Linked DNA regions of Bombyx mori. The protein of the gene in region 1 purifies or fractionates together with the protein of each later gene. This does not show direct contact. Links are inferred from orthologs where the notes say so. Each region holds a gene or a part of one and is shown in the gene's direction. Other genes may lie near its edges.

Region 1 (3,569 bases):
TAGCTGATATATAAGCAAATCGAACTTGAATCATTTCAAACATTGATTGAAAAAAATACAAAGTTTATAAGGTTTTTAATTTTTTTGTCAAGGTGAAATAAATCCACCAGGCTCCAGCGACAATGAGGAAGAATCTGATGATGAAAATGTAACCAACTTGTACCAAGAAGCACATCTACCTTTGCAGGTGAGTTATTTCAAAGTTTTCTTGTTTCGAGCTTACTTTAGATATTATATAAATTCACATACACCTTGATTAGAGAACCCATATTTTTTTTACTTAAGTAAAAGACAAGATATTATTATTCCTTCATTGTGGAATTAGTTCATGAACATACTATAACAACATCACATTTATTTCACATCCCACACATTATTAACATATCTGCTTGTAGGATTTGATTAGGCTTAGTTGCATAGCTTTGTAAGAGAACTCTGACCATCTCTATGCCATTATGAATGAATCGCATGTGAGTGATCACAGTACTTACTTTAGCTAGCTAAACACCACCACTAAAACAGACATCAACCCAGCGAAAAGCACAGCAGTGTTATTTCAAAGGGAAAACTCACTTATTTCCTCCCGCATTAGGAGGAGGAATATCACACTCCCGATCACCCTCTTCGGACAACCTATATCCTGGGCCAGGAAGATCAAGAGTCACCCTGGATGCATCCATGACATTCCGCCTGCATATAAAAACAGTCCGCGACTGTGCCGCATTTATTCTCGGCAGACTATCCCATGATCTGTAAGCGGAGTAAAATGTCCCTTCGGAACAAGGTGACGCTTTACAAAACTTGCATAAGGCCCGTCATGACTTACGTGAGTGTGGTGTTCGCTCACGCGGCCCGCACACACATAGACACCCTCCAATCCCTACAATCCCGCTTTTGCAGGTTAGCCGTCGGGGCTCCGTGGTTCGTGAGGAACGTCGACCTACACGACGACCTGGGCCTCGAAACGATCCGCAAACACATGAAGTCAATGTCGGAACGGTACTTCGATAAGGCTATGCCTCATGATAATCGCCTTATCGTTGCCGCCGCTGACTACTCCCCGAATCCTTATCACGCAGGAGCAAATCACCGTCGTCGCCCTAGACACGTCCTTACGGATCCATCAGATCCAATAACTCTTGCATTAGATACCTTCAGCTCTAACACTAGGAGCAGGCTGAGGAACCCTGGTAACCGTACTCGTCGAACTCGACAAAGAGGTCGACGTGCAACCTAACCCCAGCATCAGCCCGCTGAGTTTTTCGCCAGATCTCAGCGGGTCGCGATTCCGATCCGGTAGTAGATTCATTCGCAAAGCAATTGCTCTTGAGTTGTTAGGTCTCCTTTGGAGGCGCTCGGCCAGTTGTTAGCAAATCCCACCCCTCCTGGCTGAGCTTTTGCACGCCCACTTGACCTTATGAAACTGGAAAGACCTCCGGGCCACTAGTAATCTTACAATCATAAAAAAATACTACCACGAAAACAATGAAAAATATCATTCTGTTTTTTTTTGACACTAAATAAACAGACTACAAATTTACATCCATAAGTAATTACCAGGGCCCTGTAGAAATCATGACTTGAAGTAATCTTTAAAAAGGATTGGATGGAATATTTCTGATACATTAATAAAAGAGCCTGTCTTGTCCAAAGATATTGCTTTTTATACATTCTCATGTACCTGCAGGAAACGGCAGTATGTCCAAGAACCCTCATATTTGTCCAAAATTGTCCCATTCGGTTTTAAAGCTATTCGATTTATATTCCAAATTTATCATGAAAACATTCGTTACACAGGAGGTGTTGGCTAAATATGAAAACAAATTAAGTTCACTTCATCGAAATAGACTTGGAGACACAGCTACGCCACTCTCGCCATGTCTACGTGCCAAGAAGAATGTTGATGAACAGGATGCCGCAGGTCTTTAATTGTTAATGATGACTGTACATGAAATATCTATAAAAAGTCTATAGATCTTTATGAACTAAATGATTGTTATGTTTTTTATTTTTATTTAAATTACTAATTAGTGAAATTTTTCTTAGTTGTGGATATTGAAATTCCATAACCAATTGAAAAACAACTTACAGTACATATCAGCATTCACTTATTGTTTTTCACAAAATATCAATAAAGTATATAAGAGCAAATAAATAACTTAAAAAATTACTATAGGTGCCTCCAGTGACTTAGGATTAGGATGCTCATCATTAGGTTCAAGTTCCGAACAGTCTAATCAAGGAGCTTCATCTAGCAAAAATGGACTTATTGCACAGGAAGATGTCAAGATGAACACAGAAGATGACACTGGGGGAGTCTCATCTACAAGTTCCAATGAAAAAGACAAAGAAACAAATGGAGAGGTAATTATCTGTATTTGAACCAGTATGACAGTGATATTATAAATGCTTACAGTTTTAGTGTTACAGTACTAATTATTGATTGTTTCATATTTTCAGGTAAAAATAAAATTTCACAAACATTGTAATGTGACAAATCTGTGTTCAGGTATATTCCATTCTTATTTTTATTCCATTTCAGGTATCAACAAGTGACCCAGATACCATTGCAAAAGATCCCATTGCTGTAGAACCTGAGAAAATAAACTCAGCGGCACCAGACAGTTCTGATGACAATTTTCACCAGCCTGAACAAAGTGAAAATATTAAAAGCTGTGATGTGGCTCCCAGGAATAGTTCTGATGTTTGCAATGGAGAAGTTTCGGATTCAAAAGAAGCTGAAGGGGAGGACAACAATATTTCATCATCTAATGGATCTGCCACGCCAGTCAAGTCTGGGAAAGCTAAAGGTAAACACAATAGCATTATAACTAATATTTTAAAAATAAATAATGGGTAGTGAAAATGTGCATAGTAAATGTTGGCTTAGATTGAATAGTATCAATCAATATCACTATCAATGATAGTGACAATGTATCAATTTGGTACATTGACTAGCAGCAGAATCATTTGTAATATAGACATGCTGTCAACCTTGATGTTTCCCAATATGGCTGCCCTAATTAAAAAGTAAGAAATTTTTATTTTATAAATAATAAATATCATCGTTATGTTAGATAAAACTTCGCCAGTATCAAGTTCTGAAAAAGAAGCCCCAGAAAGACCAAAGAAGGCCAAATTACGACGAGCAGCTGCTGCTGTATATGAATCATTGCTGCTAGAGGCTGAGGAAGATGATGAAAGTGATTCGAATGATGAGACTTTTGAAGGAGGTGAAGTTAATTCGTCTGATGAAGAAAATGTGAATGGCAATGAAGATTCTTCCAATGAAGGTAATAATACCAATAAAGAAAATTACAATTTTATTACATGTTTTGTTGGCTACCTGTTGATTTTAATTGTTTGGATGATTAAAAGTACAAGAAGCTTGCTTAGTAATTGCTATTTTTCTATAAGTATTGCAGTTTTTATTTTTAGGCACCTTAAATGTTTAGATTAAATTTTAAATTAGATTTAATCTTTTAAAATAAATTAGAATACTGGCCGAAAAATTCCCTATTTGCCAGTGAATTACGAAATATATTTTTATAATAAGCTAATAACTTTAT
Region 2 (4,183 bases), on another chromosome or scaffold:
GTGTTGACTCAATACAGATTCACATTCACAACTCCCATAAAACCAATTTGGAACTGCCGAACGATTTTGTGAATCAAATTCAATTTCCGGCACGAGGTTTTGTGTATGAGTTCAAGAACGCAAACAACTTGTCCAAAGTAAATTTTTTTTCACTTTTTGAATTGACTATTAAATTTGACTGGTAAATAGAAGCGAATTCAAAGCTAAATAGATCTTTATCCTTAGACCTATATTCTTGTATTTTGAAATGTCTTATTTATGTATATCTTTACGAAGTTGCCGTTTTACAAGGCCATATTATTATGACACATCATGCATGCCTAGAAAAAAATTTAAATTCTAGCAATAAATCATAAATTCAAATTACCTAATCTTATTTATAAAATATGGAATTCTATTTTCAAATTCGGTCATTTGATTAGTGCTTTGTTTTCATCACATTCATGTTAATATAGGTATAGTAAAAATATATGTAATAATGGAATAAGAGTTCCATCGCGGCAACAATGCCGCACAAACAACCCACAACATTAATTATATATGTATGGAGTGAACACTTTGAGTAAGCCTTTCCGGAAATTTGATATAAAATACGAACGCCTAAATCTATACAATCATCAACGACGAATCAGAAGCGATCGTGGAAAATAACGACACTCAAGCTATCGTTGAATTAGCAACAGCTTTTAATGCTAGCATCAATACAATATAGGTTTATTTGCGTCAAATTGGGAAAGTAACAAAACTTGTTATGTAGTTGCTGTACCAATTGAACGATCGCCAACGCGACGAACGCATTAAAATATAAGTTGCGTATACAGTTGCTCGACAGACTCAGAAAGTAAGGGATTTTAAACCGCATTATTACTTGCCAAGAAAAAATTATTATTTTTAATAATTGTAAGCGGTCATCATGTTGATTATACCCTGGTTAAGCAATTAAGCAATGCCCTAAACAAAAACACATCCATAAAAGTCATGGTCAATATTTGATGGTCTAGTGCCGGTATCACACCTTCTGATCAAATGGCAACAGCATTACTGCAGATGTGTGACATGAGGAACTGGACAAAAGTTGAATGCTCGCATAAATAACTATTTGCTATTTGAGATTAATTATGGTAAATCCATTAGGACTTCTTGGAAAGCTTATCATTGTCATGATATATAACCAAATACTTGAAATTGAAAAACTTATTGTGGTTTATATGTGCCTTTTGGGGGAAATCGAGAGAAATTACACTTGATTAAATACCAAACACTTTTTTCTTGAAAAATCAGCTGCTAGCGACATCTTTACCAGATTTCGTGGGCCAGTGTCCTACACTATCACAATTGAAATAGAGTATAGATTAAAAATACCCTCTGCTGGCAACAATACTCAATAGCCAATATTTCATGAGTGTTCTTCCGTCGTCCGCCGGTTTCTATTTTTCAAAAAACAGGATTGAGTCAGTCTTTTGCAACATAAACTTAAGAATAGTGAAACAATGCACGCAGAAACAACATTAACGCTTATACAAATACTTGAGAAGACAGTTTCACCTGGTAAGTAATATGACTAACATCAACATGAACATGGATGGCGTTATAGAAAATAACGTACTTTTGCTACCTATAAACTATGCCATGATTCTGAAATTTATCCGGAAAAACTGTAGAATGGATAAAAAAATGGCATTTCTCAGCAAAAAGCATTTGAATTAAAACGAGACTGTAATTTTATCTAGTATCACCAACCGCAATGCTTACCTGTCATCCAGGAAACTTCTAGTTCAGCTTTCGAACCTCACGATGTCTGTGTTATTAACATTCAATGAAAAAGTGTGCTATAACTTTTGAATTCAATAGCTATTTTAATTCATTGTACATATAAAAAACAAAAAAATAAGTTTAAGGTTAGAAAATAGTGGATATTCTGTAGTATTAAATGAATAGGTAACGATTTTGTACATACATACCCTAATAAGAAAGAAACAATGTGCAACAGGGGCCGTATAAAATATATTTAAACAACATTATTTCAAAGTATAAAAATATTTATTAAGAAATTATAATAAAAGAAGTAGTGGTACTAAATAATCAATTGGTTTTGATGTTCCCTTGGCATGGATGACTTGGATTAGTGATCGTGACTACTCACCATTAGGTGGCCCATATTCTCGCCTGGTTTCAGTGGTAATAAAATACAAAAAAGACCTCACAAATTTGATTCTCTAACACCTTTTGTTTTCATGTGACATATCAGTATACAGACATAGTTAAATTTGGGGTACTTCACTTTGTAAATTATGTACTTAGATTATGGTTATTGCTTACAGATCGAAATGAATTGGAAGCAGCAGTTAGATACCTCGACCATGCTGCCACCACAAATTTCACAACATTCATCAAAATGTTGTCCGATGTCCTTCTCCAAGGTGGTAACAGTCAAGTGGCTAGGATGGCAGCTGGTTTGCAATTGAAAAATCATCTCACTTCTAAAGATCCTACACTTAAACAACAATATCAACAAAGATGGCTGGCTTTGGCAGAAGATGTTCGACTTTATATAAAAGAAAATGTAAGGCAATATTGCAAACAAGAAACAAGTGAAACATTGAAAAATTCACTAATAAGTTACTTAATAATAAAAATATATATAATATTATCTCTAAGCTAAATTGCTCAATTATTGTCTAAATAGCAATTCCCTGTATGTCTTACTTAGATTAAAATTAAAATTAGTAATAAATATAATTTAACACAACACTAATAAATACAAACACACAAGACATCTAAAACGTAATTACGCCACCCATCTTGAGATACAAGTTCTAAGGTCTCAGGTATAGTTATAGTATAGAGCTTGAACTAATGAAGGTGGAGAATCTGATAAGTTCCATCAGGTGTAGGTAACCAAGTTATATTTAATTTTAATACTAGTTTCTTTTTTAGATATTAGCTGCTATAGGAACAGAGAATAGTCGTCCAAGTTCAGCAGCACAGTGTGTGGCGTATGTGGCAGTAGCTGAGCTCCCAGTAGGACAATGGAATGATCTAATACCAATTCTTGTAGAAAATGTTGTTCATGTCCAATCTACTGAACTCAAAAAGGAAGCGACTTTGGAGGCTATTGGTAACTGAATGAACATTTGATAGTTAAAAGAGCTATGACAAATTATGTTATATAAATAAACAAAAAAAAAATTACAGTTTTAATTGTGCTTTATAACTAAAGGCAAATTGCTATTAATCTCTTTAACAATACTGATGTATTTCTTATTCTTCTAGGCTACATTTGTCAGGATATTGATGCTGAAGTATTAACAGAAAGAAGTAATCAAATTCTTACGGCCATCATACATGGCATGAGGTCAACTGAACCCAGTAATCATGTTCGACTAGCTGCTACTCAAGCTTTGCTCAACTCTCTAGAATTCACCAGAGCGAACTTTGAAAAAGAAAATGAAAGAAACTTTATTATGGAGGTTGTCTGTGAAGCCACACAGTCTAGTGACATGAGAATCAGCGTTGCTGCTTTGCAATGCTTAGTAAGTTTTATAAATATATAATGTGAATCCAAGTATTATATTTAAAATTAAAATAAAATACCACCTTAGCTACCACATTAGCTTTCTTCCCATGAAAGTAGAAAAAATTATATACCTCAGGAATATTACTTTTTTGTGGATAGTATCCTTTTATGTCCTTTTCTGTACTCTTGACAGCATTTATGTAAAATTTCATAATTAATGATTGATTAGTTAGATATGAAAGTGTATGAATTACAATTTATATTAATATTACATTTACTCAGTTATAAATTTATAATATTAACATGAATAACAAAGCTAAGACTTATTTTTTGGGATACCAGCTATTGACATGATTAAATTTAAACAATTACTGTATTAATTAATTTAAAAAATAGTTTTTAATCAAACAAAATTATCTTCAGGTGAAAATTTTATCACTTTATTATCAACATATGGAACCTTACATGGGACAAGCTCTATTCCCCATAACACTTGAGGCTATGAAATCTGATATTGATGAGATTTCATTACAAGGTATTGAATTCTGGTCCAATGTGAGCGATGAGGAAATAGATCTCGCAATTGAAGAAGCTGAAGCAGTTGAAGCAGGTATGAAAGTGATACTTCTATTCTCCTGTTGTGTTTAAAAAAATGACTAAGTATAA

What was found. The genes of interacting proteins can lie anywhere in the genome.
Region 2: the proteins of uncharacterized protein LOC101741975 (region 1) and importin subunit beta-1 purify together in Homo sapiens (affinity purification with mass spectrometry; 3 studies listed by BioGRID and IntAct, with this or other methods). This does not show direct contact. The link is inferred for Bombyx mori from reciprocal best matches to the Homo sapiens genes PPM1G and KPNB1.

What each region holds. Positions count from the first base shown.
Region 1 is NC_085116.1:6,775,764-6,779,332, forward strand, and holds part of uncharacterized protein LOC101741975, read left to right. Parts: intron 1-92; coding exon 93-187; intron 188-1,797; coding exon 1,798-1,921; intron 1,922-2,176; coding exon 2,177-2,364; intron 2,365-2,542; coding exon 2,543-2,810; intron 2,811-3,077; coding exon 3,078-3,293; intron 3,294-3,569.
Region 2 is NC_085110.1:11,420,925-11,425,107, forward strand, and holds the start of importin subunit beta-1, read left to right. Parts: upstream 1-1,352; 5' UTR 1,353-1,490; coding exon 1,491-1,548; intron 1,549-2,321; coding exon 2,322-2,563; intron 2,564-2,937; coding exon 2,938-3,118; intron 3,119-3,273; coding exon 3,274-3,533; intron 3,534-3,940; coding exon 3,941-4,127; intron 4,128-4,183.